Mytilus edulis: one gene and its partner. The protein of the gene in region 1 interacts with the protein of each later gene in a pairwise test. Links are inferred from orthologs where the notes say so. Each region holds a gene or a part of one and is shown in the gene's direction. Other genes may lie near its edges.

What was found.
Region 2: the proteins of RNA helicase aquarius-like (region 1) and zinc finger protein 830-like interact in a two-hybrid assay, tested with the Homo sapiens proteins (2 studies listed by BioGRID and IntAct, with this or other methods). The link is inferred for Mytilus edulis from reciprocal best matches to the Homo sapiens genes AQR and ZNF830.

Annotation. Positions count from the first base shown.
Region 1 is NC_092352.1:28,520,467-28,536,542, reverse strand, and holds the start of RNA helicase aquarius-like, read left to right. Parts: upstream 1-7,507; 5' UTR 7,508-7,613; intron 7,614-8,414; exon of another isoform or gene 8,415-8,420; 5' UTR 8,421-8,467; coding exon 8,468-8,533; intron 8,534-9,099; coding exon 9,100-9,159; intron 9,160-9,597; coding exon 9,598-9,638; intron 9,639-11,095; coding exon 11,096-11,131; intron 11,132-11,763; coding exon 11,764-11,809; intron 11,810-13,163; coding exon 13,164-13,238; intron 13,239-13,709; coding exon 13,710-13,841; intron 13,842-14,548; coding exon 14,549-14,617; intron 14,618-16,076.
Region 2 is NC_092346.1:5,108,107-5,124,632, forward strand, and holds the start of zinc finger protein 830-like, read left to right. Parts: upstream 1-10,136; 5' UTR 10,137-10,157; coding exon 10,158-10,273; intron 10,274-13,178; coding exon 13,179-13,278; intron 13,279-14,500; coding exon 14,501-14,588; intron 14,589-15,414; coding exon 15,415-15,442; intron 15,443-15,897; coding exon 15,898-16,061; intron 16,062-16,526. Other genes in the region: mitochondrial genome maintenance exonuclease 1-like, read right to left, coding at 765-900, 1,657-1,873, 2,535-3,135.

The DNA of each region.
Region 1 (16,076 bases):
TTGTTTTGGCCATTTGAACTGTTTCCATATGTCATGCCGGGGCTGTTTTATAGCTGGCTTTGCCACCATGGGTTTTGCTCATTGTTAAAAGCCGTATGATCAGGCTACCTATAGTTGATTACTTCTACGTCATATTGGTATTTGATGGAATATAAAAAAGAAGATGTGGTATGATTGCCAATGAGACAACTATCCACAAAAGACCAAAATGACACAGACATTAACAATTATAGGTCACCGTACGGCCTTCAACAATGTCAGAGCAAAGCCCATACCGCATAGTCAGCTATAAAAGGCCCCGATAAGACAATGTAAAATAATTCAAACGAGAAAACTAACGGCCTTGTTTATGTAAAAAAAAATGAACGAAAAACATATGTAACACATAAACAAAAGGTTTTTTTATATGTTATAAGACAATCCGTTATGGAACAGAACATTGAACTGTTGGCTCGCTTAGCATCAAACAAGTATCCACTAGAGAAAAAATGACGACGAACGCCAAAAGGACACCGCACAGTCTTCAACAATGATAAACCTCTTATCTAAACCAAGCTATATACACGGCATTGGCACGACAGAAGGTCAACCTAGTTACAAAAAAATGGTTCTCTGATTTCATTATGCTCAATATTCGTAAGCATGTCATGCTATATTCTAAATTGTATTTGATAGAACAGGATGTAAAACAATAGAAAAGAGAAATCCAACTGCATAATCTAGGCTTAAAACAACGAAAATCAAATACTAGTAAGTCAAACAGCAAGTAACGACAACCAATGAGTTACAGACTCTAGTCTCTAGACGACATACAGAATAATGGTGGCAGGGTTGGACATGTGTGCGAGTTCTCAACCCTCATCTTACATGAGATATAATAGCACAGCATATGAAAAAACTGTATAAAGTCCGTTCGAACTTCAAAGATTTTTATAGACACCAGATCGACACGAAACACACACAAAAACAAGTAAAAGATAAAAGACTAAAACTTCTCTCCTTGCCGCATATCTTTTCATCTTTTTATATGACTGCCGGACACTTGAATTAAGGGTCAAGTAAACTGCATATTATTAAAATGCATATCCAGTAACCCAATTCACGGTGACGCACTCGTATTATGAGGATGCCGAAACAATGTATCTCAGTATTATGCTTGGTTGTACGGTATTACTAGTTACATAGTGTGTTAGTGACCTAATACGATATATACAGGGTAAGTAAATTCCATATGGGGTGAGAGCGAAGCACGCTATGTAACTAATTTATCTGACCGAATCTTTTTTGTTGTTGAATTTAGACTAGAGTTAACGTCACGAACCCTTTCAATAACTCTCTCAGGAGTCCGGCGATGACCTGTAACAAGATAAAATATCTGTATCTATCCAACAAGCCAATCAGCAAACATCAATCGACCAAATATGTTTTTCTAAGGACTGCAACCGTGTTAGTCATTAGGTTAAAAAATATGACAGTTTGTAAATATCTCATATGTGGACAGCGAAATCAGATATATACATTTCTGAGATTTGAAATCGGATATAAAACTTAGTACACGTAAAAGTCAAAAAGGCGTAAAATGCAAGTTATTTGATATATGTCCCACCATCGTAGATTTAAATTCAGACGTAGCATTTTATTAATTAAACGTGTTCGTTATACGGCTATATTTAAAAAAGAAGATGTGGTATGATTGCCAATGAGACAACTCCCCACAAAAGACCAAAATGACACAGTAATTAACAACTATAGGTCACCGTACGGCCTTCAACAATGAACAAAGCTATGATCATATTGACCAAAGTTGAAGTAATGACGAAGACCCCCTTTTTACAAGAAAACCACACACAGTAACGACTAACAATAGGCCTATAAAATACAGTGTGTTTATTCTAAGGAAGAGAGCAAATTGAGAGGGTGACACACATAAAATCATATTTTTATATCTTTCCACTGCTTACCTGTCAGGTTTGGACAGGGGAAGAATCATATTCACACTTTTTTTTTTAGAGCCGTTCCCTGCATGGTGTCTCTTCCAGCTAATCAATAAATTTAGTGGTACATTTATGAATAAGTTGAAGTATAGCTATTATTTAACCCGATAGCTCTGTTGGTTAAGACACGAGGGAATCGTACATTGTTTATCACTTGAATTTGATAATTGTCGCTTAATTATTAGGGCCCCGCCTTTAGGCGGGTCGCCCTATAGTGATCAGTCTGTCCGTCCGTCCGTCCGTCCGTCCGTCCGTAACACTTTAACTTTGTGTCCGCTCCATATCTAGAGAACCATTATGATTTCATACTTTATACTTTACATGTTTATTAACCACCACCAGAGGGCATGTCATGATGTATGTACAACTTCCTAGGTCAAAGGTCAAGGTAAAAAAACTTTGGTTTCAGTTGACAACCCTGTGTCCTGTGGTGGAGATCGTCCGTCCGTCCATCCATCCGTCCGTCCATCCGTCCGTCCGTCCGTCCGTAACACTTTATCTTTGTGTCCGCTCCATATCTAGAGAACCATTATGATTTCATACTTTATACTTTACGTGTTTATTAACCACCACCAGAGGGCGTGTCATGATGTATGTACAACTTCCTAGGTCAAAGGTCAAGGTAAAAAAACTTTGGTTTCAGTTGACAACCCTGTGTCCTGTGGTGAAGATCATGTCCGCTCTATATCTTAAGAACCGTTATGATTTCAAAGTTTATACTTGACGTGTATATGAACCAACACCAGAGGGTGTGTCATAATTTATGAACGACTGCCTAGGGCAAAGTTCAAGTTCAAAAACTTTGGTTTCAGTTGACAACCTCATGTCCTATGGTAAAGATTGTGTCCGCTCTATATCTTGAGAACCGTTATCATTTTAAAGTTTATACCTGAAATGTATATAAACCAATATCAGAGGGTATGTCATAATTTATGTACAACTTCCTAGGTCAAAGGTCATGGTCAAAAACTTTGGTTTCAGTTGACAACCCCATGTCCTATGGTAAAGATCGTGTCCTCTCTATATCTTGAGAACCGTTATCATTTCAAAGTTTATACTTGACATGTATATAAACCAACACCAAAGGGTGTGTCATAATTTATGTGCAACTTCCTAGGTCAAAGGTCAAGGTCAAAAACTTTGGTTTCAGTTGACAACCCCATGTCCTATGGTAAAGATCGTGTCCGCTCTATTATATCTTGAGAACCGTTATCATTTCAAAGTTTATACTTGACATGTTTATAAACCAACACCAACGGGTGTGTCATAATTTATTTACAACTTCCTAGGTCAAAGGTCAAGGTCAAAAACTTTGATTTCAGTTGACAAACCCATGTCCTATGGTAAAGATACAATTTTTTAATGCAGATTATTCACAGCGGGGCCCACAGAGATGGCTCCCATCTCAATGATATCTAGTTGATTTCTAGAGAGGCGTCCCGTGCAATCTAATTAAAATATTGATCTCTGATTACGTTATACTACATATGTAGTATAACGTAATCAGAGATCAATATTTTAATTAGATTGGCGTCCCGTGTTGAATCTTGTTACAATAGCAATAAAACTAATTCATGTTGTGCATTCGTCATGAGGAGAATCACTATTGTGGATAATCTTCTTATAATATATGTTGCTGGTTCTGAATGACCGTCCCTTGATGACCTCTGCAATTTGGCGATGTATAATTAAACCGGGTTTACCTGAGGCTGAACCTCATTTCAAGGATCAATGATTAAGGTTAAAGTTACGTGATTACGTCATTTTTACACATATTATAAGCAGTAATCAACGATATTTGCTGTATGAATTGGCTGTAAGGGGAACATGTAAGTGTGACCTTGACCTCATTTTCATGGTTCATTGGTTAAAAAATGTTAAATTTGTATGTTTTGATCTATAAGCAATAGCTCAAATGTATTTGGTGTATGGAATGATTGTTAGGTGTTACGTGTCTGTCTTGTAGGTATCACTCAGACCTTGGTTCATTGGTCAATGTACAGTTTATGTGATTTGATTTGGGTTGGGTTTTTTTTCAAATCTATAAGCAATAGATCAACTATAGTGGTTGTATGGAACGATTGTAAGGTGTACATGTCTGTCAGGGGTATAGTCTGACAGCTGACTTAATTTTCATTATGCTAGTTCATTGGAAAATGTTTAGTTTTTGTGTTTTGGTCTTTTTCAATTATGATAAGCAATAGGTCAATTATATGTGCTGCATGACATAATTGTAATGTGTAATTGTCTGTCCGACAGGATTTATCTGACCTTGACCTTGTGGTCATGTTTCTTGTTTGTTGGTTGTTGTTTTATTGTTTTATAGTTATTGTTGGTTATTGTGTTGTTTTTGTTGTTGTTTGTCTTTGGTTTTTTTCTCTCTCTAAAGGTTAACATCAGCAAAATCTGAAAATAATACTCTTATTAGTTGTCAGATTTTGATATAGGAAATAAGTTTATCGGCCGTGGGGTGATACATTTGTTTCTGTGTAAAGTCTTTTTTCCTTAAGAAATGTTGTAATTGTTACCTTGTATGGGTTTCAAGATTATTGCTTAAAATGTCAATATTCTTATTTTTTGTAATATAAATGAAGTGTGATTTTTGTTTAGCTTATTAAAGGAAATAATTTACTGATCAGTTTCTTCAGATATACAGTCTTATAACTATTGACTTCATTTTTTGCATTTTCATTGATCAACGTTTAACTTTCGTAACTTGGTCCGTTTCATTAAAAGTAACTGGTATACTATACTCGATGTTTCGAAGAATTGTAAGATGTATACAAGCCCGTCTCAAAGAATTGACAGTGCACAAGGTCATGTTTTTATCTGGCTGTTTATGACGTCTTTACACTAAATCCATTGGATGTTGGATGTGTACGGATTGATAGTTTAGTCTTAGATGCATCATTTTTTTTATTAGTTGTTAGTGGCTTTGAACTAGCTGTCAAATAACTGCGAGTACTCTCAGATCTGTTCATTGCGTCTTTTTGTGTCGGGATGTACTTGTAGTTCGTTCTTATGTTGTACTGTTATACCACTGTCCCAGGTTAGGGGGAGGGTTGGGATCCCGCTAACATGTTTAACCCCGCCACCTTATTTATGTATGTGCCTGTCCCAAGTCAGGAGCCTGTAATTCAGTGGTCGTTTGTTTATGTGTTACATATTTGTTTTTCGTTCATTTTTTTTAATAAAAAAGGCCGTTAGTTTTCTCGTTTGAATTGTTTTACATTGTCTTATCGAGGCCTTTTATAGCCGACTACACGGTATGGGCTTTGCTCATTGTTGAAGGCCGTACGGTGACCTATAGTTGTAAATGTCTGTGTCATTTTGGTCTTTTGTGGATAGTTGTCTCATGGCAATCATACCACATCTCCTTTTTATATGATATTAATTCAGTCTTGAGGAACATGGTTTATTTATATGTTAAACTTGTACCTTAAACCAGCGAGTACTTCTTAATCTTTCTGTAATTATTGTGTTTTGTCTTATTTGTTTATAATAATACTGTTAGTATCGACCTGATGAGTCACATTTTCGAACGAATTTTGACAGTGTGTTCATACTGATATTGTGTTGTTATTACTCTGGCACCACAATATAAAAAAAAAGAAGATGTAGTATGATTGCCAATGAGACAACTGTCCACAAGAGACCAAAATGACACAGACATTAACAACTATAAGTCACCGTACGCCCTTCAACAATGAGCAAAGCCCATACCGCATAGTCAGCTATAAAAGGCCCCGATAAGACAATGTAAAACAATTCAAACGAGAAAACTAACGGCCTTATTTATATAAAAAAATGAAAGATCGAAAAACAAATATGTAACACATAAACAAACGACAACCACTGAATTACAGGCAGCTTGCTCCTGACTTGGGACAGGCACATACATAAATAATGTGGCGGGGTTAAACATGTGAGCGGGATCCCAACCCTAAGAACGAACTATAAAAATCAGTCGAAAAAGGCTTAACTCATCAGATGGACAAAAATACAAGTGGAAACCTGTCAAGCCGTGTCATATTCTGGTTTCTGGAGGATAGAGTGCTTGAAAAACGTGTTTAGCAGCGCCAATTAATGTATGTGCCTGTCCCAAACCACCAAACTGTGGGCAAGTGGTTGTCTTGCGAAATTTGATGAAAAGACAATTTTCACGAATGTCCATCAATAATTAAACAGTCAGAACCAATATTGTTTGGTAGAATTATGTGCAAATAAAATTGAAAGGATTAATGAGAAAATTGAACTTGAAGCACAAATGCATTATATATTGGGAAATATACCCCAAAACGGCGGCTCTCCTACGTCACCAAAGTCACTTGATTTCTTACTTACTTGGATATGGGAAAGTGAACTAAAGGATGCTACTAACTACATTTTTTTCTTCCCATGAAGTTCCTGTATGTAGTCAGTCTCATATGAATTAAGTAACATGACGACAAGAAGAGGAGCACAATTGGTTTCCATGAGATTGCCGATTGTTTGATGAAAAACGCGTCCTCCAAACGTAAAAATTATGCTCACAATCAACAAGATTTGCAACATCTTAGTAATTTTGTCTTTTAGTTTGGAATGGGAATACTTGTGTAAAGTGTAGAAAAGTCAAGATAAAATAGTTATAGATTGTATGTACTCTAAAAGATCTTATTCTTCTTCTTTCAGTAAGCGGCCACCGTCAACTGGTTGACTATCCTGCCACATTTACGGAGTGCGTGCATGATTAAAATTTTTAATTCAACAAAAACTACGTGGAATTTATATACAGGTGCAAAATAAAACTTGACATGTCACTTTTACTGACGGAGCTGAGCCTTGAAAGATTCAGGACTCGAGGCGGTGACCTTACAGTTGGGCAAGGTGTTCCACTCTCTTATTGTTCTAGGATAGAACGACTCACTCCTTCCGAATTGTTGTTTTGCAGGATGGAATTCTGAATGCTTTTTCGTTGTTATTCCTGGAAGGACGTTCATTTGGTATCAGTTTATTTGATGTATCAATCTTTACATAGTTGTTATTAAGCTTATACATCATTATCAGTCTGCTCTGTTTTCATCGTTCTTGTAGGGTAGTCCATCATTTAGATGTTCAAGCATGTCACTAACCGCAGATGAAGTGTTGTGGTATCTGTTAGTAACATACCTTGCTGCCCTTATTTGAACCATTTCCAATCTATAAATGTCATTTTGTTGGTACGGGTCCGATTCTGAACTAGCATATTCAAATGTTGGTCTGACGAGGGACACATATGCTTTTTCATGAATCAACATCTGCCAATGATTCGCGCTACCAGCTCTAAATTTGGTATAACTTGACCGGGCTTGCCAGTTTTGTTTTGTTTTTTTAACTTGATTTCATCCCAAAAATATGCTGTATTTTCCTTTTCGGGAAAAAACCCTACTAGTACCTTTAAAAACTGAGTCGATATTGACAAAAACACGAAAAAAAACAACGGCGAACTCGAGTGCTACTAATGTGCCCGGAAGTATACATTTCATGTCCGTGTATTGTTTTTGATATTAACTACGTCTTCACAACTTCCGCTGCATGTGTGAGCGACGATTTTGAATCGTTTTGTTTTTGCATACTTATTAAACTGATTTCAGAGCGAATGTAAGTTATGTTAGATTTATACAGGAAATAATTTTTGTTCTCAATCACCTCGATTGTACATAAAACTCTAAACCAACCTGTACATTTGATCCATACTTCTCCGCTATCTGAGTTCAAGTACTAACTTTTTTTAGTGTACTTCAGATAAGTAAACGAACCGTAAGCAACTAAGTGCACAAATGTCAGAAGATTATATCACACACAAACGAGTTATATACCTACTAAAAATGTTAATATTGGACCATTTGTTTCAAGTTGAAAAAACAGGTAAGGATTCACTGGAATAAACATTAATGAGGAGGGATTGGACCTTTATCAGGATTTCAGGATGGGGTGTTTTTAAGCTCGAGATTTCGGGATCCAGAAATTCTTTTTTTCGAATTTCGGTATGGGGGATTTACATTTATTTAAATTTGGGACCTCAGGATTTCCTGTTTTTAAGCCCGGGATTTCATGATCAGGACCCCTCCTACCCCCTCAATTAATCATGGGGTTATCTTAATCTACCAAATGGGTTATAATTTCTTGAGTGCTTACAATAATGAAAGGCTATTTTATTTTTTTAACAAGTCACTACATCATAATGCTGAAGCCTTTTTTTCCGTCTGGACTTTTGAGAAAATATTTAGCAGCACATTGAGACCCAATTTTGGCAAGAAATCTTCATTACTGGCTATCAATCATATGATTCCATTTGAGGTACATTTATGTTACCTTTTAAAATTGTTTACCTGATTTTCCAAGATTCATCACTTCATGAAAGACAAAATATCAAGTTTATAGATATAATATATTATCCAGATACAGTACTAGAAAAAAATGTTATTGGTGTAGATTAAAGAAAAACATAGATAATGGCAGAAACAAAGAAAGCAAGACCACTTACTGTTGATCAGATTCAAGAAGACAATATCACACAGGTACATGTATAGTGTTTTATCTTAGGTACGAAGGCCCATTTATATGATATTAAAACATGTGAAATTTGATATTCACGAGTGGTACTAGCGTTTGCTTTCAACTGTAAACCAACTAATTTTGGCAAACAAAGTATTTTCGAGAGTACATTTTTTAGCAAAACATCTCAATTTTCAATGATCACAAATGTGTGAGACTTGGATCTTCCCATTAATAAACCATGCTGTTTGGTGTGAGCCCAGTTCCATATTGAAGGCTGTACTTTGACCTTTAATGGTTTAAGTTTACAAATTGTGACTTGCATGGAGATTTTTCTTATTAGCACTCATACCACATCTTCTTATATTTTAATGTTAGAAAATAAGAAGATCATGAAAATAAACTACTGCAAAGTTAGTTAGAAAGACCTAAATGCAAAATAAAGTATGCATGCAAATAACTTGGTTTAAAGTCAAAAGATGTTACATTTTTTATTATCTAGGAATCCTTTTTTTTTATTGAAATATTCAGTTATAGAGTGTTTTGTATCAATAAATTGTTCATAATATCTTATTAATATCTACTACAGTTGGCAGGACTACATTGGTCACAGGAAGCTTTGAAGAATGGGGCAAAGTTTAAACCACAGGTATTTCTATATCTACCAGTAAATGAATATAATGTTTTTGAAATCATTTTCTAAAACTTGTAGGTCATATTTGAATGCAACTTTATTTTTTAAATTATTGAAAATTAGTAATCTTTTTAAAAAAAAAGAACAAAAGGCATATTTTCTCTATTTTTCACTTCAGTATTTATTTATCAGATAATTCAAGTTGTCAGTTTATAACCAATAAAGTTTTGAAAAAAGTATTAGTAAAAACTAAGTGTGTTTTCTTGTTATTAGTAAAAACTATGAGTGTTTTCTTGTTGTAACAAAATTTTGATTTATACTGTAGATATTGTTAGATAAACCTATAAAGTTCTTTAATTCACATTTTTTTTATTTGAGTTTGTATTGATAATAAACATTATCTGTAATTATCTGTATTTCATGTGAGTAAAATTTGTTTCTCTATATTTGTAGTTGGTTGAAGACATTTATAGAACAGAACTGGTCAATACTGGGTAGGTAATACACTACACAGAGGTCAACATAGTCTTGTAACCAAGAAATCCTCAGTCTAATATCTGGGAGACTGATATGAGGATTCGGTCACAACTAAATGTTAAACCTAAATAACCATGCACCATAAACTAGCAGTTATACACAGAAGATGAATTCCACTTAGTATATTATTTATTTCCAAGACTGGAACTTGTCACCAAGCCTGTGACTTCTAAACTTATGTCTTTTACAATCATTTTACAATATATATATATGAGAATTAAACAATTAGCTAAGATCAATTATTACATAATGTGTTGACAAATATAAACAAGTTATTATCCAGATAAAGAAAGATAAATAATTAAAACAACTCTTTTAGCAATGTCTCTAATTTAAGAAGGATAAAGGATTAAGCCCTGAGGCATCATTGTCACTTTGATTATAAAATGTCCATTATCAATTAGATATATATTAACTTATTGTCCAAGTAGAATATATAATATAAAACATAATTAATGAGAGTTTCAAACATTAGCATTAAAAACCTAAACACATCTGAAAGTCATTTTAACTCTGTCAGAGTCTTCCACAAAGAAATACAATAAAATGCTGCATCCACCACCAAAGGAAAAATAACATTAATAACTAAAGACTACAGCTGAGGGTAGATCATAAGTAAATCTTTTTTGAGACAGAATTTTCTTATACTTAGCCAGAATGAAGATTTTAATATGCTCTTTTCAAAAATATAATAAAAAGTAGGGGTCACCGTGCTATTTTTCAAGCTATGAGTCGTTGAAAATTGCCTAAATTTGGTTAGATTGTTAATGGAAAAACACAATTGTGTGCATAAAAAATAATCTATGAGATAGAATTTTGAAATAAATTGTGAAAAGATAGGTTTTGTAATATGTTTTAAGAAAATAAGAAGAAAAAATGGTGTCACCGAACTTGTTTTCTTGCTACAAGTAAAAAGAAAAAAAATCCCTATCTGTCCAGTATAAATTTTTTACTAAAAGAGTTATCTTCCCTTAAATGGCTCAGTTGAAAAAAATGATTTAAAAAGCAAAATAAAATGATATTTGTTTAATTATTTTGAATTATACAATAAATTGCCAAGTTTTCTTTATATTATTAAACTGTCTAACCATTAAATTGCAAATCTGTCTCCAAATTTGCAGATTTAGGCAAATAACTAGACCGATTTTTTACTGTGATTGTTCAATCCAAGATGGCGGTATACCATGAATCTACCTTACAAAAGGTACTATTTAAAAAAGCACAATAGAAACAATTGAAATGCACTGACCCTAATAATACTGTTATGTTGGATGACAATTACATTCTTTTTCTTATATCTTCACTTCATCTTACTAATAATACAATAAGAGCTCCTTTATATGGCTGTTCAACTTACCTGTGGCTTTACAATATAAGACTGATTATATAATTTTTAAAATGATTTGTTTTCTAGATTTTCAACAAGACGAAGCATGATGTTAGAATTCAGGTATTACTTATATTTATATGGTTTCCTTTCAATTGTATTACCATTTTCGCAATTATACATGTCTGCAATAAATGTTTTAACAAATTATCTCCCCTGATACAGATGTATCACTAAAGTCAATAATGACCAATGGTGGATGAGTTTTCTATAAAAATCCCATTGTATGACCTGTTCCTTTACAAACTAACAAACAACTAAGGAAGATGTTCTTGTGACCAGGCCACACCATATGTTTATTATATAACATTTTTTCAAGCCAACCTATAATTTTTGGATGACCAGAATGTTTAAGTACAATGTACATGTACTACAAAATAAAAAGACTTAGGCAAATCAAGAAGCAAAGATATACATTTGTAATTGTACAATATCTAATTTATTATCTACATTCCCAAAATATAGACTGCAAAAAAAACATGCGTCTATTTCTGTAAATGCAAGAATAAGAATAGTTACACATATTACAGACATGACTTTCAACTTGCTGCAGGTCAGTCAGTGAAGTTAAATATACATGTTTTAGCAGGATCAGGAAAACACTATAATTTTAAATTTCTTTGATATTTATTGCTGTAAGATATTGTCTGATTATTCTTGTGCTATAAATTATTATATCTTTCTTTTTCTTTCAGTCAGTACCTAGAAAATTATTTATGGCCAAATTATGATTCAGAAAAGGTAATTTTTTAAAGGTTTCAAATAGTCGCAGGTACATAGTTGTTATTTATTGTTGAGGAGTGGTCAAGCTTCTTAGTATTATTGTCGATTCCTCACCAATTCTTGTTAAGTTCATAATTTAAAGTCTTAAAAGAAAAAAATAGAAAATTTAGTATCAATTTTCAAAATAGTTGTATCCTTATTTGTTGTTATTTTCTGTACAAATTTTATATAAAAGTAAGAAGATGTAGTATAATTGGCAATGACATAGACGTTAACAACTATATGTTACTGTATGGCCTTCACCAGTGAGCAAAACCCACAACTTACCTTATGACAAGTCCTACACTCTGAAATTAATACAGTACACAAAAATGAAGTAATTTCAAAGTGGCTTATAGGTGATTTTTGACACTTTACAAATGTGAAAGGAAACAAAAAATAAGCAGAGCGCAGGTCAGGCACTCTTCATCTAACCATTGAGGGCTGTTCCAGAAAATACTATGTCCCCCCCAGGGAAGGCAATTTTTTTAAATATTATGTGGGTGGTTGTATTTGAAATACCAAAATGCAAAGGGAGTGCTGTTCTAATTAAATTTTATTTCTGTGGGTGGTGGGGGTTAAAAAAAAGTGCCGTCCCTGGGGGGGACATAGTATTTTCTGGAACAGCCCTGAACAGGAATTGTAGAAAATTGTGTTTGCCAAACAAAACAAAAAAAGGAAAAGGATCAACAGTTATTATATTGAAATTATTTTTTTTTAAATATTTTTTATGTGTAAAGAATATAGAGATAGTAGTAAAACTTATATTTCTTTCTTTGTTCTAATTATTCTTCAATTTATTACAGTTTGATCTAAATGACAGAACCAAAGAATGAATGAAAGATAATCATCCTTTAATTTTTGTTGTTGTCCCTAATGAATTTAAACTTATATCCACAAATTGACTAATAATAAAAAGCAATGTGAGAGATACACCAATGAGACAACAACCCATAGACACTAAAAAACAATAGAAATTTTATTTAAGAAGACAACTGTTTATCTTAACTACTGCATTTACAACTGCCATTTATGATGTTATATTTCTACATTTAGTTGTGGTTCCTCTGTGACTGTGGTCTAAGTAGTTACTACTGTAATCACTAGCCAGTCAACACTGAGCTTGTGAGTTGAACCCTGCTTGTGCAGGTGCACTCAACTCCAATCTTAAATGACTAGGATTGTTAATTTTCCTATCGATGGTCGTGGTTTTCTCCAGTCACTGGGGCTTACTCCACCAATAAAAACTGGCCGCCACAAAATAGCCTGAATGCAGTGCTTGTAAGTGGTGTTAAAACAACATAAATCAAATCAAATCTATTTTTGTTTGTAGTGTTCTTATGCTCATCAGTTGTCAATAGCTGCCATGGTCAATGAGAAATTTAGAGAAAGAGTTCCTCAATGGGAGGTAAGGTTATGTGGAAGAGCTTTGATAAGATTACATTTAAAATATGACAGTGATGGCTGTATGTCATGGAAATAAGAAGTTGTGGTATGAGTGCCGATGAGACAACTCTCCATCCAATTCACAATGCATAAAAAGTTAACAATTATATAGTAGATGAAAGTACAGCCTTCAACACAGAGCCGTGGCTCACATCAAAAACAGCTAGCTATAAAGGGCCCCGAAATGACTAGTGTCCAATCTATATAAATAACGAGCCATACATTATTAAATGATTCTGTATTTTTGCATAGAAAAGACTCCTTCTTGTGAACATGTTTGACAACCTGACCAGAAAGCATGCACACTGCAAATTTATAGCTGATATTTTTATGTTTATATTATATCAATTTTTCTGAGCAAATCTTACAAACATCTCTTATGTGAAAAAAAGGATAAATTATATAATTAATTTAAATGTTGGTTTTTTTCCAGACATTCAAGCGTAGACCTGAGAAGTTTGCTGATTTTTTCCATCAGATGTTGCAGGCGTGTTTACATGAAGGCAAGCCTTTCAGAGAACAGTCATTGTTACTCCTCTTCCTAATTCACTGTTTCAATAGTCTGGTAAGTTTAGACAAATTATATGTTATATATTATTGTTATTTGTAAGATAACGCAGAATAGTGAAAGTTATGAATATTTTATTACTACCAGTTTCTTTGTTTTTGGTCGTACTGTTCCGGTTTCACAAAAAAAAAATGCAACTAATATTTAAGGTACATTTTACCTATACTGATTTATTAATAATTTATGATCAATCTTAATGTTAAGTTTTTTTTGTGAAACTGACATCAGATACTTAACTTTCATTGTATCATTATTTAAAGAAATCAAATAAATATTGAAGGCATTTTCCCCAATCTATCTTTACAAGAGGCAGTGGAATTTTGTAGGATAAGTTGTCATTGCCATGTTATTCACAGGAGTCCCCTGTAAACAATTTGATATATACAGTCTTTTTGATGCTAGGACTTCTATCCTCTTATTATGAATCACAAAAAGACAGAAGATACTAGAATTCAGCGAATAAGACAAGATCAGTGATCCAAATTCCAATGTTGAATCTGACATTGATTTTCCACGATTTTGTTATAAGATAAACATGTCTCAAACTTTGGTAAGAATTCAGAGTTAATGCTTTAATTATGTCATGGATATGTTATAATTTACAGGTTATTTTGGCTCATGAAAACAGTATCATATAATAATCTATTTTCAGGATTTAGAAACTGAAAAACAATTATATATTCTATGATTTCTTATTTAATCAGGAAGTGGATTTAATAAGAGAACAAGTACAAAGATTGGTTTCCTTGCCTATCTGGAATAATTTGTTGCAGGTAAGTTGTTGTTAGGTCATTTACAGTTGAAAGAGTCACAAAAGAGCTTTTATTAACTGTAGTAGTCACGTATATTAAAGTTATTATTTATCTTTTTTGTATTAACTATTATAATCTGTTACTGATTTGCACTGTTCAAAGTAGTCAAAGAGTTTCAGTTTTATAAAATATATATGTAGGACTCAAATCTATGGCAGATTCCTAATCTATGGCAGATATGGCGTCTTGCCATCCCAAATCTATGGCTGATTTTCACAATCCTAATCTATGGCAAGTTTTGTAATCTCCTAATCTATGGCGGATTTTTGTTGTTTCCAAATCTATGGCAAATTTTAGGCAAATGAAAAACAATGCAGTACACATATGACCAATGACTTGTCTTAAACAAGTAGAAATGCACGAGAGCATGTCTATAAACATTCCATAATGGTCAACCAAATCATGATGGCAACCAACATATTTTGTAAATGATCAAATTCATATACCTTAATACATACTTCAAGATTGAAATAAACATTTTTTAATCTGCATGAAATTGCTTAACCCATTCATTTAACCAACTAGTAAGTCTCCTAACAAACAATTAGGCAGTTTGTTTTATGTAAAAGAAATAAATAAGTCTGAAGGGTTCCACAGAACCCGGTGTCTCGCCTACTTTATGAGTCTAATAATTGTTTTAAGTACTTTAACTGCAGACTGTTAAAATCTTAACCTTAAGGCCGTACCTTGACCTATAATGGTTTACTTTATAAATTTTGACGTGGATGTATGGAGTTGTCTCATTGGCACTTATACCACATCTTCCTATATCTATGGACATCAACGGAAATTATATAAATATTCCATAATGGTCATCCGAAACATTTTGAAAATGATGAATTCATATAACTTAATACAGACTTAAAGATTAAAATGATGCCCCCGGTAAAAAGAAACATTTTTTTAATCTGTTCATGGTACCTGTTTAGCCCATTCACTTAACCAACTAGTAAGTCCCTTATCTAACAAAAAAAGACAAATAAAAATGAACAGTTTCAATTTTCACATAATGTTATTTCATTGTTAATACCTTTTTTTACTTAATTACAATTTAAATCAAATTGGTATCTTGTAATTTGATCTTTGACTTTATAAACTTTGCCAGCCGTAAAATATCTATCATAAATTCTTTTCTAAAATATCCGGTACCCAAAACAGCGGTGTCCTTATTAATCGATGACTAAGGCCAGTCACATTGTGTCCCTCTTTCGGATAAGATCTCATCTTCTTTTAATTTATCCACAAAGTTTTGTCGAGGGAAATACCTTCATCTGGAATGGTCACGTTTAAGTCTATGGGTTCTGCCATCGTAATCGGCGGCGACGATGTTATATGGAGTTATTCAATTGTGACGTTATGAAAAGATCTGCCATAGATTTGGAGAAAACAAAAATCTGCCATAGATGTGATATGTTTGACG
Region 2 (16,526 bases), on another chromosome or scaffold:
AAACATTAACGTACAAATTGTTAAATTTTGCCGTCAGATGAGAAGTGTGAATCATGCATAAGAAATTATGGTTATAAATCAACAATATTTTCTACTTCTTAAGGATACATGATTAAACTCCTAGTTAGGAGTGTAAACATTCACAGTGCTTGTAATTATTCACAAAACAAAAAATCTACATATAAGCTTTGGTGGTTTAATCAGTTGGTGTGGACACAACAATACTGCAGTAACCAAAACAACCATCTAACTGTTCATAATGGTAAATTCAGAAATTATTGTGAGGCTTTTTATTGTTGTGAATAATGTGGATGAGTATAGCAATGATAAGAAGTTGTATTCTGATATCTGTTACATATATATCTGTATGCAGATTTTCCTAAAATCACAACTTTTGATCTCATATTGTAGTCCATTCTTGAAAAATCATAATAATTTCTAAATTTGCAGTACTGTGAAATTACTTTAATTCGTGGGTATCAATTTTCGTGGTTTGAGCAATATTTACATGTTCGTGGGGTTTTAAATTCGTGGATTTTTGTTTTCTAAAAAAAAAAATTGAAAAATTTAAGCCTTTAGAAACGAAAATTACAAATAGTCTGGAATGAAGGAAATTACGAAGTAAAGATTGACCCGTGTAAATCGTAGTGATAACACTAAATTACCCATGGATAAAGTCATCCACAAAAACCACGAAATTTGGTACCCCACGAAAAAAAGTACTTTCACAGTATTAGGTTTGTTGTACCCCACAGATAACTTACCCGTTTGTCTTGTAGTAACTGACTATTATTAATGGCTCCTATGTAGGCAGCTACTTGTATGGGATTGTCAAAGGTATCCTTAATTGTTGGTTTAGTTTTCTTTGAGGTCTTCCAATCCACCAAACAGAGTCTGTCTCTATAAAATGTAAAATATACTTTAATTTTAACTTTGATTTCAAGAACACATAGATATTGATCTTTGTAGTTCATCCATATCATGAAGTGTTGAGAATCAAGTAAAATACTGTGTATGTGAAAGTTAAATTTCCTTTGGGTTAATTAGTTTATAAAACAAATATCTCACTTCATGCTTCACCACAAGTCCTACAGCCCCAACAGAATCCAACTAAAATTTTCAAAAAACTGAGCTTCGGGGTTATATACTCAAAAGTTTATCATGAAGGCTGTGATGTACAATTAAATGAATTTTAGAAACTGCTTATTCAGTTTCTATTTCATCCTTATAATTAATGAAATATTTGCCACTAGACATGTATAAACAACAATCAATCAATCAATTTATATTCTTATTATGGAGTATTATCTGTATAACACATGTAATATATATTATGTCTAACAAACTCCCCAAATACTCAAGATATAGTTTTGTATAAAAAAATCTACAAATGTTTTTAATTTTTTAATTCATATTAAAAATTCCACTGTGAATTTAAAAGTAAGAACAGCAATGAAAGCTTTCCTTCCTTATTGTTACATACAGGGGAACATCAGTCAAAAAAACAAAAAGGAAAGGCTTGGGTTATCATATATTTCAATGTTACAAGAAAAATGATTTGTGGAAAAATATTTCTAAATGTTTAGGTTTACTGAAGAAAATGAAAATCTAAAATACTTTAAATGGAAGACACTGACACTGTGCTTTTAAACCTACTTATATACAGCTAAACAATCAAATTTTCCCTGGTAACAAAGGTCTTCATGCTTGACTGCTTCTTCTATGGCAACAGCTTCTTTCACTTCCTGTAATACCTTCCTGATACTATCCCAATGTCCAATATTGTCTTTATATATATCCAACTCTGTCTCAGGAATCCCAGATAAATAATGTTGAATGTTTGCATGAAGATTGGATCCATTTCTAAAAGTCTCTGTAGAAAGAAATTTATAAACATCTTGAGCAAATGAAGACCAAGCTCCTGAAGACAAAGTTGCATGACCCTATAGTTTTACAATTAAAATATTTGTTTTGATGCTCTTTATATATTTTTTGGTTTATAAATACTATTGATTCCAATTCTAGCCAAATATTTTGTCTCATTATAATGGTAATGTTTTATTGGTGATGGTAATTACATTTGGACTCAATGCTGGTTACTGTAGTTTCAAATATTGTGGTTTCATAATAGTTTTTTTTCAAATGTTTGGTGTCAATTGTGGTTTTCGGATCTTCTTATATGACTAGTAAATGTTTTAAGTAGTTTGTTATTTTGTTTCAGGCACATTTCCTTTTTCAAAACTTTTTTTATTTCCACCCATTTAATTTATTTAATGGTCATGATGATAACTTTTTATGCAAGAAATAACTTTTTAAGTAACAATAAAATTCTTGACTTCTACAAATTGGAATTTAAAAGACCTAGATCTGTTATCCTTTTTTTTCTGTTAATCATGCTCTTTAAGATTCATTTTAATGATTGCATAGTGATTTCTGAAACCATGTTAACTACAATGCTTTAAATAATCATTTAAGAATGTTGCATTTGAGGAAAGGGTATCTTTGTCACTATTCATATAAAAAATAATAAATACCTTCTTGAAGTTTTTTAAAACCCTCTGCTCCTAATTCACTGATCATTTTCTTCTTCCACCTTTCCAAATAAAACTTTGACAAATCTGACATTGTCTCACTAATTATACGTGTCACTGATGGAATTAATCGTCCTGCTGATTGTACCAATAAAGAATTGTCAACCTCTGTATCAGATCTGACCATAGGATAGGTAAGAATGTAGTCTATAGCAGGATCAATCTTCCTCTGGAATGGCACTTTACTTTGTTTATTTCCTTTCTTTTCATTGTTTTTATTTGACACTTCACTGTTTTTATCTGATTTCACTGTTACAGTCTGTTTATTTGAAGCCTTACTTTTAGTCAGTTTCACCAATTTTTCACTCTGTTTATGTGATTCTACTTCACTAGATGTGTGATATTCTGATTTTTCCTCACTTTTCTTACTCTTTCTATTAAGTTTTGGACCATAAAGATTATAATTATCATAATTAAGCTGTATGATTTCTTTGACATCGTAAGTTTTTGTAGTTTTAAATCGTAATGATATGTTGAATGAAACAGACAGATTTGATTTACTACACATCAACTTTGATAACCACTGTCCTGTTAACCTTGCCATCCTTCACAATCTGAAATCATAAAAAAAATATTAAATTTATAAATTGATATTTTCCCAAAAACATTCTCTAAAAGTCACATCAGACACATACAGACCATTTCAAATGTAAGAAATTGCTTGTCACAAAAAAAAACAATGCCTAATTACTATAAGAGGTTTATAATTTCACTTTTAAAACAAAACAAAAACAGGATAACCAGACAAACAACTTCTGTAGGAAATCACATTTAGCATTGTAAGATTATCCCAAACTGTCTGTATTACTACTTAAAGACTTGGCTAACATGTAGTTTTATCAAAGGTAGAGGCTGATTGGATTCTAATATGGTAGTGGCCCCCTTAAAAACTATTTTTAATCACTTATCTCATTAGTGTTACAAAAGACAACAACAATCAGATATTTTTACTGCATAGTAATAGTGTTAGATAGGCGTCATCAGGACTTTTATTTCAAGACAACAATGAATACCCAGTGGTATGCACTCTTTTTTACCCTACAGCACAATTACCACTTCAGGTTCATTTAAAGCATTACACTTAAATCTCATTTGTTCAACCAGTTTGAACCAAGCAATCATGCAAATAATCTTTGACAGCCTGTTAAGGATACAACATTGCTAATTGGATATAAATTTACTGAGCAACAATCTTATTTCAAATCTTTGGAAACTCTGATTTGTTATGAAAATTTTAAAAGGGATCAATCTTGTAAACATTCTTTTTCATAATAATTAATAACCTTAAGTCCAAACATCCTCAACAACATGCACATCATAAAAATTGATAAAAGAACAACTGCAGAAAATCTACAGATTTTTATGGTTGCAGGGTTATCTCCCATGTTATATCTTTGTAAAATTTAAAGGAAAACACTGACTAACCTATTATGGCTTTAAATACACCTAAGATGTATTATTTACATGTATCTAAGTTCCTTGTTAGGAATAAATAAATCTCTCTAACTCATATAAATAATCTTAATAATGCTATATATACTTTATTTGTAGTACCAAAAAATAAATAAAGATTTTTTTAATTGATAAAAATACATATATATATAGAAAAATTATTAATGTAAATACAGATTTAGTTACAATTTTGTTTCAGATAAGGGTGAAGGTTGGTACCTATTAAAACGTTTAAACCCGCCGCAATATTGGTTGTCTTGCACATGTCCTAAGTCAGGAATTTGATGTTCATGCAGTAGTTGTCGTTTGTTTATGTAGTTCATCAGTGTTTATATAAAGATTAGACCGTTGGTTTCCCCATTTGAATGGTTTTACACTATTCATTTTTGGGGTCATTTATGGCTTGCTGTTCAGTGTCAGCCAAGACTCTGTGTTGAAGACTGCACTTTGACCTATAATGGTTTACATTTACAAATTATGACTTGGATGGAGAGTTGTCTCGTAAGCCATGGGCGTAGCTACGTTTACGTCAAAACGCCCGGGCGTACACTTGAATTTTGAAAATAAAACAAATAATCGACATAGAATAAGAAAAACTGGTCAAAAGCACATCAGCCTTGTGCTTCTTTTTTCAATGGATTGTTATTTTGAATAAAAGGGACTAAATTTAATCAAATAGATCATAAATTTAATATATTTATTCAAATCTTTTGTAAAAGTCTGAATCTACTATAAATTCTACGTACTTTTCTTATATATTAATTTAAATCAATTCACTATCTGCTGTTTGTATTTTTGTCGAGCCTGTGATTTATGTTCCAAAATTGAGACAAAGCGGCGTCAATATTTAGGTTCCAAATGTGAATAAAGTCTTTGAATGACTCTCCATGAAATTTTACGAAAGTTGAACAGAAACTGTTTATGATCAAAAGAGTATTCAGAGCAATATAATAATGCAATTATATCTTTAATTTTCCCGCATTTTAAGGACAAAATTTATTTATTTCTGCAACTGATAAGTGGTTGCAGTTTGGGCTTACATTTTGTTATTTCTCAATTACATTAACTACTTGCATGACTTGTCGAACCTTCATCTATTTTATGAAAATGCAGCAGAAGCTTTTTCTATGACTAATGTCAAAAGCTAAAATTTTGAAAGCATTTGTATTCGTTCATTTTTCTGTTCTTTTCTGATAGACAGATAGCCGGACTCTTCTTAACGCAATTAATTGTTTTACATGCTCAATTTATATACCTTCATAGATTGTCGTGAAATATTCCAGATCAAGAAAAAAATATCAAAAGAAAATTTTAGATTTTTTTTAAATCCCTTTAAAGGAATGATAAATTGATTCACTTTATGTGGGAAGAAATCCAAGGTGAATTTTTTTATAATGCACCTCTTAGAAATAATTTTTTGGGTGTTTTTGGGTGCTTTTGTCGATTGTATGCTCACTCACGGCACCCTTTAAACTTATTTAAAAGTAATATTGGTTTGGACGTTTTCTCTAAATCCAATGATCATTTGGCTAGCTTCCAGTTTAACACGATGAATAAGTTAACATATTACAAAATTTAATCAAAACAAATAAACCATTCAGATTCAAAAGTATGTTGCTATCAATAATTTTTTACTGACAGGAATCATTGTGGTATCTCATTCTCGATAGCTTTTGGGGGCTTTGACCCTTTCGAACCCACTACCCGCAGGTGCTTTTGTGAGCCAAAATTTGTTCCTGTGAAAAAAGTTCCAGTGGAACTTATTTCACAGGAAATATGTTCTGGGAGAACTTTTTTCACAGACAATTCTATATAATTTGTTCCATCTCTATGAAATAAGTTCCACACTTTACTTGGTGAAATAAGTTCTGGGTTGGTGAAATTTGTTCCTTACCTAGTGAAATAAGTTCCATGTTTGTGAGAGTTGTTCCTTACCTGGTGGAATAAGTTCTGGATTTGTGAAATTAGTTCCTCACCTGGTGAAATAAGTTCCTTGTCTGTGAAATATGTTCCACTGGTTAAACAAGTTTTCTTATATACTGAGCACTTGTCATCAGTGAGTTTAAAGTCATTATAAAAAACATGTATTATATTGCATAATGTAATAAATAACCAGATGCTCCGCAGGGCGTAGCTTTATACGACCGCAGAGGTTGAACCCTGAACGGTTGGGGCAAGTATGGACACAACATTCAAGCTGGATTCAGCTCTAAATTTGGATTGTGATTAAATAGTTGACACAGCATAGGTTTCTGACACAGAATGAATGTGTTCTAATGAACTTGAAATTTTTGTTTTCTCTTAGAGCAATTCACTATGCTGTTGAATATTCATCCTCTCAAAAAAATGTTTGAAGAAATTTTCTTTTTTATTTATGAAATTTCAAATGAGAAAAATTGAACCCAATTTTTTTAATCACATCCCCCTTTCCCTTATTCCAAAACTAATCTCAATTAAAATTTCTAATGGAGTTTGCAACAATAACTACTCATTTAAATACATCATAAAATATTAAGATGTAAAAAAACTGCTTGTTATCACTGAATGGTAAAGATTATTTTAATTTATCAGTTGGTAGTAAAAAGTGAATATACATTGTATATTGTATATAACAAAGATTTAAGTTGATTCTGGACAAAGAAAGATAACTCCAATTAAAAAAAAATCTTGCTATTGCACAATATTTTGCAATTAGATATTTCTTGCTTACTATTCTGGACAAAGAAAGATAACTCTAATTAAAAAAAAATATGCTATTTCACAATATTGTGCAATTAGATATTTCTTGCCATTGCGCAATACTGTGCAATTGAAAAGACTTGCTATTGCACAATACTTAATATAATAATTTTAGATCCTGATTTGGACCAGCTTGAAAACTGGGCCCATAATAAAAAATCTAAGTACATTTTTGGATTCAGCATATCAAAGAACCCCAAGATTTCAATTTTTGTTAAAATCAGACTAAGTTTAATTTTGGACCCTTTGGACTTTAGTGTAGACCAATTTGAAAACAGGACCAAAAATGAAGAATCTACATACACAGTTAGATTTGGTATATCAAAGAACCCCATTTATTCAATTTTTGATGAAATCAAACAAAGTTTAATTTTGGACCCCGATTTGGACCAACTTGAAAACTGGGCCAATAATCAAGAATCTAAGTACATTTTTTTAGATTCAGCATATCAAAGAACCTAACTGATTCATTTTTTGTCAAAATCAAACTAAGTTTCATTTTGGACCCTTTGGACCTTAATGTAGACCAATTTGAAAACGGGACCAAAAGTTAAGAATCTACATACACAGTCATGACAGTTAGATTCGGCATATCAAAGAACCCCAATTATTCAATTTTGATGAAATCAAACAAAGTTTAATTTTGGACCCTTTGGGCCCCTTATTCTGTTGGGACCAAAACTCCCAAAATCAATACCAACCTTTCTTTTATGGTCATAAACCTTGTGTTTAAATTTCATAGATTTCTATTTACTTATACTAACGTTATGGTGCGAAAACCAAGAAAAATGCTTATTTGGGTCCCTTTTTGGCCCCTAATTCCTAAACTGTTGGGACCTAAACTCCCAAAATCAATACCAACCTTCCTTTTGTAGTCATTAACATTGTGTTTAAATTTCATTGATTTCTATTTACTTAAACTAAAGTTATTGTGCGAAAACCAAGAATAATGCTTATTTGGGCCCTTTTTTGGCCCCTAATTCCTAAACTGTTGAAACCAAAACTCCCAAAATCAATCCCAACCGTTCTTTTGTGGTCATAAACCTTGTGTCAAAATTTCATAGATTTCTATTTACTTAAACTAAAGTTATAGTGCGAAAACCAAGAAAATGCTTATTTGGGCCCTTTTTGGCCCCTAATTCCTAAAATGTTGGGACCAAAACTCCCAAAATCAATACCAACCTTCCTTTTGTGGTCATAAACCTTGTGTTAATATTTCATAGATTTCCATTCACTTTTACTAAAGTTAGAGTGCGAAAACTAAAAGTATTCGGACGACGACGACGACGACGCCAACGTGATAGCAATATACGACGAAAAAATTTTCAAATTTTGCGGTCGTATAAAAAGTGTTAACATCCAATCGGATCATGTGGAGTAAAGAAAAAGTTTAATAACATGCTCAAGTAATAATACTAAAAATGGTGCTTATGAGCCAGGAAAGAGTAGAATAAGAAATAATAATAAAAGTCATTCCGAAAAAAAGTATTATGGGGACGAAGTCCCCAATAACAGTAGAAAATTCAATAAAAAAAAAAAATTCGGGAAAATTTCCCGACTTTTCATTATACTAATGAACTCAAAATAGTTCAAATTTTTTTTGTCGTGTTTTGAAATCCCAGACCTGCGCAGAAATGTACAATGTACTTCCTTTTTCCGGTCTCGTTTGTATGAAACTTTGAGTAAAATATATATTTATCAGTCTAGTATAAAATAGGAAGGAACGTGCAATACCAATTTCATTTTTAATAATTCCTTGATATGAAAAAAAAGTTACCTGATGATAGCGTTTTTTTGTTTACATTGCACATGACGTCATAATTTAAATAACGTCACAACTAAAATCCCTAACAACAGAACCAAAATCGGAAACGTTACGGTATTTCCGTTTCTTTTTTTTAACAAATATTTTTAAGTTACAAAAAAATAATTCATACAGACTTCGTCCCCATTTACAGGTAATGCCTGCCTCATATTATAGTTGAAGATGAATATTTGTACTTTTTTGAAAAGGACAATGTGGCTGATCAATTATATTAAAAGACATAAAGAAACAAAATACACCGCTCTTTAAAAACTGTGCAATGACCATAGCTAAGTACATGTATGATTAGAACACCAATGACAGATCATCAGGAAACAAGGAGGTTGAATACCACATAAACGATCAAACATAGATACATTATCATCGCTTTTATTTCTTATCTTTATCCTAAAGTCATTCCTTCAATTGCAAATGTACCCCATGCAAGCACAGAACTTATTTTCTGTGAAATAGGTTCGAGCAGAACATTTTCATTGATTTCTATAAAATACCTTCGTTTAAAACTAATATCACAAGAACTTATTTCACTTTTTTTTAAATTTTAATATTGGAACAAAATTCATGGTGTTGTGATTTTTGTTCCGGAACTTATTTCACACTTAGTTAAAAAATTAGTTCCAGAACAAATTTTATAGTGCTGGAACATATTTTCTGTGACATAAGTTCCGGTGGAACATATTTCCTATGAAATTTGTTCCGGTGGAACAAATGTCACGCCGGAATAAATTTTTTGTTACACTTTAACATTGAGCAGTTGGCACCCCTCATATCCCTCACCAAGGTTTGGGCATACACGTAAAAATGACCCAGCTACGCCACTGTAAGCACTCGTACCAATCTTCTCATATCTATGTAATTATTACTTAAAGCCAATGAAGATGAAAAATTAAATTAATTAATAATGGACATTTTAAAATACAAGATTCAGCTTCATAATAATTAAAGGAAACTTTAAAACATGATATTGATACGTTTTGGGAATGGACATGTTTCAACGTCGTTTGTGCATTCATAAAACTGACATGTTTCGTTTCAGCGCCCGTTTGAAACTGTACATGTTTTGAATTCAGCGACGTCATATGGATAGTTTGACACGTCTACGGGAATCAGACAGGTTTGACAGGATGGACATGACGATGTTTCTCAGTGTTACATATTTATGTATAATTTATCAAAATATTATTCAGAAAAGGGACATAACTCTTACACAAGTAAATGCACTTCGTTATTATATCATGCCTTTTTCTTTGGATTGCACTGGATACGAGTTAAAAAATCTTGACACCCGCATTGGAGGTTTGCAATCGATTACAGTCTTTTATAAACAAGAAATTGGTGCAAGGTGCTCTATAAAGGGAGATAATCTGTTCCTAAACAAATAATTTCGGATTTCAATATTGCTCACAGTAAACATCAGATTTATAACCAACACTCATATTTCCTAATCATATAGGATTTTTTAAAAGTTTGTAAGTTCAATTGTATCATCTTAATTATCTTTTATCTATAAAATATTCTTAAATACGAAACCAATTCATACAAAAATCAAAATGGCTACTAAAAAGAAGCAAAAAATTGTCTCAAAAGATGATTTAAGAAAATTGATGAAAGAAAAGACCTTTTCCATTAAAAGAGTGTCTAAAAAGATTGAACACCCGTTAGCAAAGTAAGGCAGTTTTTGTGCGCTAAAAACTTTGTGGTTAAAAGAAAGAATGTAGGATAAACAGTTTAATTTAAACTGTTAAAAGAGGGACGAAAGATACCAAAAGCAAAAGGACAGTCAAACTTATAAATCGAAAATAAACTGACAACGCCATAGCTAAATATGAAAAAGACGAACAGACAAACAATAGTACACATGACACAACATAGAAAACGAAAGAATAAGCAACACAAACCCTAGCTGCGGAACCGTAGCTCTTAGGTCCTTATGTTATTTTTTGACTATTTGCGGACCATAGAGCTACGGATTTTTCCTATTTCAAAACGTTCGGAATTGCGACCCAGGTTCAGGTCGCACTTATTTCCCCAAAAAATATTGTTTATAATCCATGCAAAGCTTGTCAATAAATATTGTTCGTTTCGTTAGATATTTTTCTAGAATATGACGTACCTATTTATGTTTGAATATTCATTTCCTTAACACTATTATCTAATTATTTCCATTTGTATACATTCTCCGCCTATTTTATTCGGCCATATTGAATCTCGTCGTGACGTCACGAAAATCAAGAAAAGATAACTCTTATAGGAAAACACGTGTTGGGTTGTTTACGTTGTCTTTTATTTTATTTTCATGACTTTTTGAATGAAAGTAAGTTTTATTAAAGTTAAATACTAACGGAAATAATAATTCTTTCAAGTTATTAAAAAAATTCGTATGAACTAATGTTGTAAAGTCTTAAAAACACTCGATTCTCGCTTAGAAATAAGTAAACAAACCAACACGTGTTTTTCTAAAAGAGTTATCTGTTCTTGTTTTTCGTAGGCGTTCCTTACCTCCAACATAGGAGATCGAGGATATTTGAGTTATCTTTTCTTGATTTTCGTGACGTCACGACGAGATTCAATATGGCCGAACAAAATAGGCGGAGAATGTATACAAATGGAAATAATTAGATAATAGTGTTAAGGAAATGAATATTCAAACATAAATAGGTACGTCATATCCTAGAAAAATATCTAACGAAACGAACTATATATATTGACAAGCTTTGCATGGATTATAAACAATATTTTTTGGGGAAATAAGTGCGACCTGAACCTGGGTCGCAATTCCGAACGTTTTGAAATAGGAAAAATCCGTAGCTCTATGGTCCGCAAATAGTCAAAAAATAACATAAGGACCTAAGAGCTACGGTTCCGCAGCTACACAAACCCCACCTGCCACCAAAAACTAGGGGTGATCTCAGGCGGTCTCACTAATTAGCAACAACAAGAATTTTAGCGACAACAAAAATTATTTTAGCGACAAGAAACTATTTTTTTTAATTAAAATTAATTATTGCAATAAATATTAAAAGAATATGCAAAAGAATATAATTTTAGCGACAAGAAAGTTAAAATTGATAGAAAAAAATGAAACATTATTTACATAATATTTTATAAATAATAAAGATGGCAAAGTGTGGCTGAGAGTTCTACAAACAAAGCATCGAATTGACATAACAAGAGTACACTTAGAGCATAGTATTAAGCAAATGAATCAAAATATTATATTCCATTATGCCTGCTCCATATATATCTCCATTCGTTTATTCATACTTTGACTTTGATGAAAACAGATACATACATTATCTTATACACATTCTTCATATTTAAAAATTAAAATAAGAAGCTCAATCTCTTTCTTCTTCACCATGTTCACAAATGTTTAATTTCTTCATCTATCAATATACTAATATAAACTTCACAATCTCTTTCTTCCTCACAAATGTTTCCTCTATATAATAAAACATTTTAATTAGACATATCTCCTCGTATATTAAAAAAAAAAATTAAATACAAATTTCTTTATATCTAAAAAAAAAAAATGTTTTCGTCGCTAAATAGTCTTCTTGTCGCTTCTTGTCGCTAAAATAATTCTTGTTGACGCTTGTTGTCGCTTCTTGACGCTTGTTGTCACTAATTAGTGAGACCCATCTCAGGTACTTTGGAAGGGTAAGCATATCCTGCTCCACATGTGGCACCCATTAATTTAACATTTGACATGTTTTGTCCACAGTAGTTTTAAATCCTATCAATAACGGGGTAAAAATATTCCAAACTCTACTATCACAGTAAGGCTTCTCTCAAAGATAGAAGCGAGAGAAGCTCTACTGTGATAGTTGAGTGAAGCGAGAGAAGTTCTACTGTGATAGTCGAGTTTTGTATCAAAAGCAAGAGAAGCTCTACTGTGATAGCCTGTTTGCTAAATTATATATTATGTTAATAAGAAAACAGTCACATTCATAAATTAAAATAAATAAAACATTTTTAGCTAGTACACTGCAGTGAAAAATAATAAGTGTCCCTTGTAGTCTTAAATTTTTGTGTATATCCTTCAAAAGTGTCTATATACAGATATATATATGTTGTCCAGTACAAAGATTAGTATTGCACAGCCAAGTGGGACATACTGGGTTTAACAATGTGACACTGCGTATTACCATATAGCATGTTATTTTCACCGGTGTAAATTTTCGTGATTTTCATTGAATAAGGTATTCAAAATATTTTGGTGGTTATTATTTTGGCAGATTCAAAACTTTTCTCAAAACCTTTGCATGTACACTCTAAAATTGGTGGAATTTATTTTGGTATTTTGTTTTATCTCGAAAATGTACACCCCACGAAAATAACCTGCTTTACTGTTATATAAAAAACTAGCTCGAATATCATAGAAGATTCAGTGATTAATTAACGAATAATATCATGATTTAAAAGATATATACAGGTGTAAGACTGGATGTCTTCTTGACATAGTATTATAAGTTCTGTACTTGAACGAATATGGCCAAAAAATAACACTTCTTTGTAATTGTCATTCACGTACACAGAAAAACTAATTAGTTCTAACATTATCATTTTAGGTATAACAGTTTGGACCAATTAACATGTGCTTTGTGTAATATTGTTATAAAGTCTGATGCATTGTGGGTTCCCCATTTACAAAGTCGTCAACACAAAGAGGTAAAATTTTCACAATATTTAGAATTCAATTTTGTTTTAGCTAAATACTACATGTAAATTTATAACAAAGGTCGCGTATTGATTTTTTTTTTATCTAGTTTTGATAATTAATTTTTGTTTAACAATGGCATATGAAGAGATCAAGACTTGTAAAGTTTAAATCTCAAAAAAAAAGATTTAGATATATGAATTAAAACAGTGTTCTCCCCAGGCTATTTTAGCATTGCTGTACCAGAAACTACAAAAATCCGCATTTCACAATTATTACTATAAATAAACGAATGGCACAGTAGACAGAAAAAATATACCAAAAGAGGAAACTACGCATTAACAGACTATTTGTTAGATTTCTTCGTTTAAAATACATGTCATTTTGATGTAAAGATTAGAAACAACTGGGACAAATTCATTGAGTACCATGAAACAATGAATTTCATAAGACATGATAAAGAAAAAAGTTTTAAATTGAAATTTTATTGCTATATATGATACTTTTTTGTACTAGGTATTTAGTTTTGTATATATAGAGGTTGCATAATAAACCATTCATTAATTTTACTAGTAGTTGGATATAGGTAGATTAACTGAAACCACATATATTTTTATTTGGCACAGGAGGAAAAAAATAATTCTGTAACTATAAATGTATAAAGGAAACATAAACTGAAACAACTGTTTTTATGGTTATAGTTTAATTGTATTCTCAATAATGAATTCAATAATATAAACATATATAACATAAAAGAAGAGCATTGCCGCGATGCGACAAATGACATTGCAAAAAATACAGTTATTTTGTTTACGCCAAATGTGATGCTATCCAAAATTTCTGGGGAGAACACTGATTAAAAGTGATGTGTCGTTGTAAGTAAGGCGGTTAACCACCAAAGATCACAGAGGGATCTGTTCATTTTAGGTATTGCCTCTGAACTTTAATAATATTTATTTCTTCACAAATTTTCTTTGAGAATTGATTTTGAATAGATTTTTTTCAATTCATTGTATAAAAGTTATTTGAACATTTCTGTGTGTAAAAATTTACTGTAAGACGAACTTAGACCAGACAAGATGTTTGTAAAGATTTCAAGTTATACAGATTCAAAAGTGAAGTAAAATACTGCTTCTAGACAAGTTCTAGTAAAGGTTGAATATTTACTGATCATTTCAAAGACGTTCATTTTTAATGAAGTCAATATTATAATCATGAATGAATTGTTTTCAGACGGTTGAACTTGTTAAAGCACCTGGTCCAGCAGTACAGAAAAGAAAACTCCCCCCAGAACCTGACAGTCACAACAAAAAACAGAAAGGTATGCAGATATTTTCTGAATTATTACCAAAATCAAAGATATATGTAGGGGCACATTAGGGTATAGCAGTCCAATACACAAATAACAAAATGACATCTAAACACACAGTCTTCAATATGAAACATGTTGTCCACACAATATGTCAAGTTGTAAATTCATTTATATTTTCATTTGTTTGTTCAATCCTTCCTTCGTTTTCCAGTTCTTTGTTCATTTGTTTGTTCATTCATTATTCCTTCTTTCCTTCCTATCTTTATTCATTCACTCATTCTATCAATCAATAAATATAAGACATTATAACATGAGAATCAATAAAACATACATCTTTACATAAAATTATTAAATTTAAGTTTAACAGGCGGTTAAAAGTGGACCCAGTACACAGATATTTGTGACTGTGAGAGGTTCGGATCTTTATGAGGACTACAGGATGGGGTGTTTTTAAGCTCGGGATTTTTTGGGATTGATCCTTTTTGGATTAGGGAATTCTTTTTTCTAATTTGGATATGTCGGGATTTAAATTTCTTTAAATTTGGGACCCCCCCCCCCCCCCCCCTGACTGTCAATAGTAAAATTGATAACGGCAACTCTTAAAATACTGCATTGTTATTCCTTTTCTAGTGCTAAACTGAAAATTGAACTGTTGAATATGCAAGTAACATGGACTGTTATTGCATTATGTTATTGCCAGTTACTTTTACTCATATCCACATTTGCATTACCATGAATAGTTGCATTAGAATTAAAGTTATTGATGTCAGATATACCAACCTTTTGTTCTGAACAAAAACTTGTATATGTCAAATGTTATATTTTAATTTTACAGATAATGGAAAGACGAGGGGGACTGCTGGGTAAGATTTCTGTATGGTAGTTTGTCGAAAGATTAAGTTCTAGTTATAAATGCTTACACATTTTAGGTTGATGGAGAAATACTGCAAATGCACTAAACTCTATTCAGTAAGATCAAGATTATTGAAGGTTCAATAACATTACAAAGTTCAGTAAAATCGTTAGAGAAGGCTGTATGATAAAAGCCATGAATTTGAATTTTGACCATGAAGAAATATGAGGGTCTTCCTCTTCACACTTAATGCAGAATTTACATTTGTTACACATGTCTGTTTCTTACAAAAATGTCCTTGACCTTTAAGTCTATCTTAGAGGCCATTTGTGCAGTTTTTCCATGAGTTTAATTGCCTAAATCAGACATATAAAATATTATAAGATAAAGTTAAGAAATATTTCTCAATAATGTTTTGTATGCCAGTTTGCCGTAAACAATATGTTTGATTAACTTATATTTAAGATTACCAGCTAATTTTTATGATAACACATCAAAGAAAACAGCTTTAAGTTTGGCTGATTACTCGTCTGATGAAGAAAGTGAAGAAGATGAATCAACTGCAGCAAAAACAACAACTACAACATCAGCATCAACATCAAACCTGGGTCATCCTTCATTGCCAGCAGGTAAACTAGGCTGAAATTATCTCCCTTCACTTTCGACATAATGACTATCTCCATGTACAAATCATGCAGAAAAAAACAACAAAATAACGTCCCATCACTTTAGAGGCAATACAAATTGTTCGCATTTTCATTAGTACCAGGTGGCTATAGATAACACTTATCTAACAAATCATCTATAGAAAAATATCAACAACAAAAATATCAAACCCAGGTCATCCTTCATTACCACTAAACTAGGCTTGAATTACATCCCATCATTTTAAAGGCAACTTCAAACCTGGGCCACCTTTCTTTTAACCATAATGTAAACTAGGCTTTAATTTCCTCCCTTCATTGTAGAGACAATACAAATTTTCACATTTTCTTTAGTACCGTTTAGCTATTGATTAGGATTATCTCCCTTACATAAAAAAAAATATAAACAATAACACCATCAAACCTGGCCTGCTCTTCATTTTACCAATA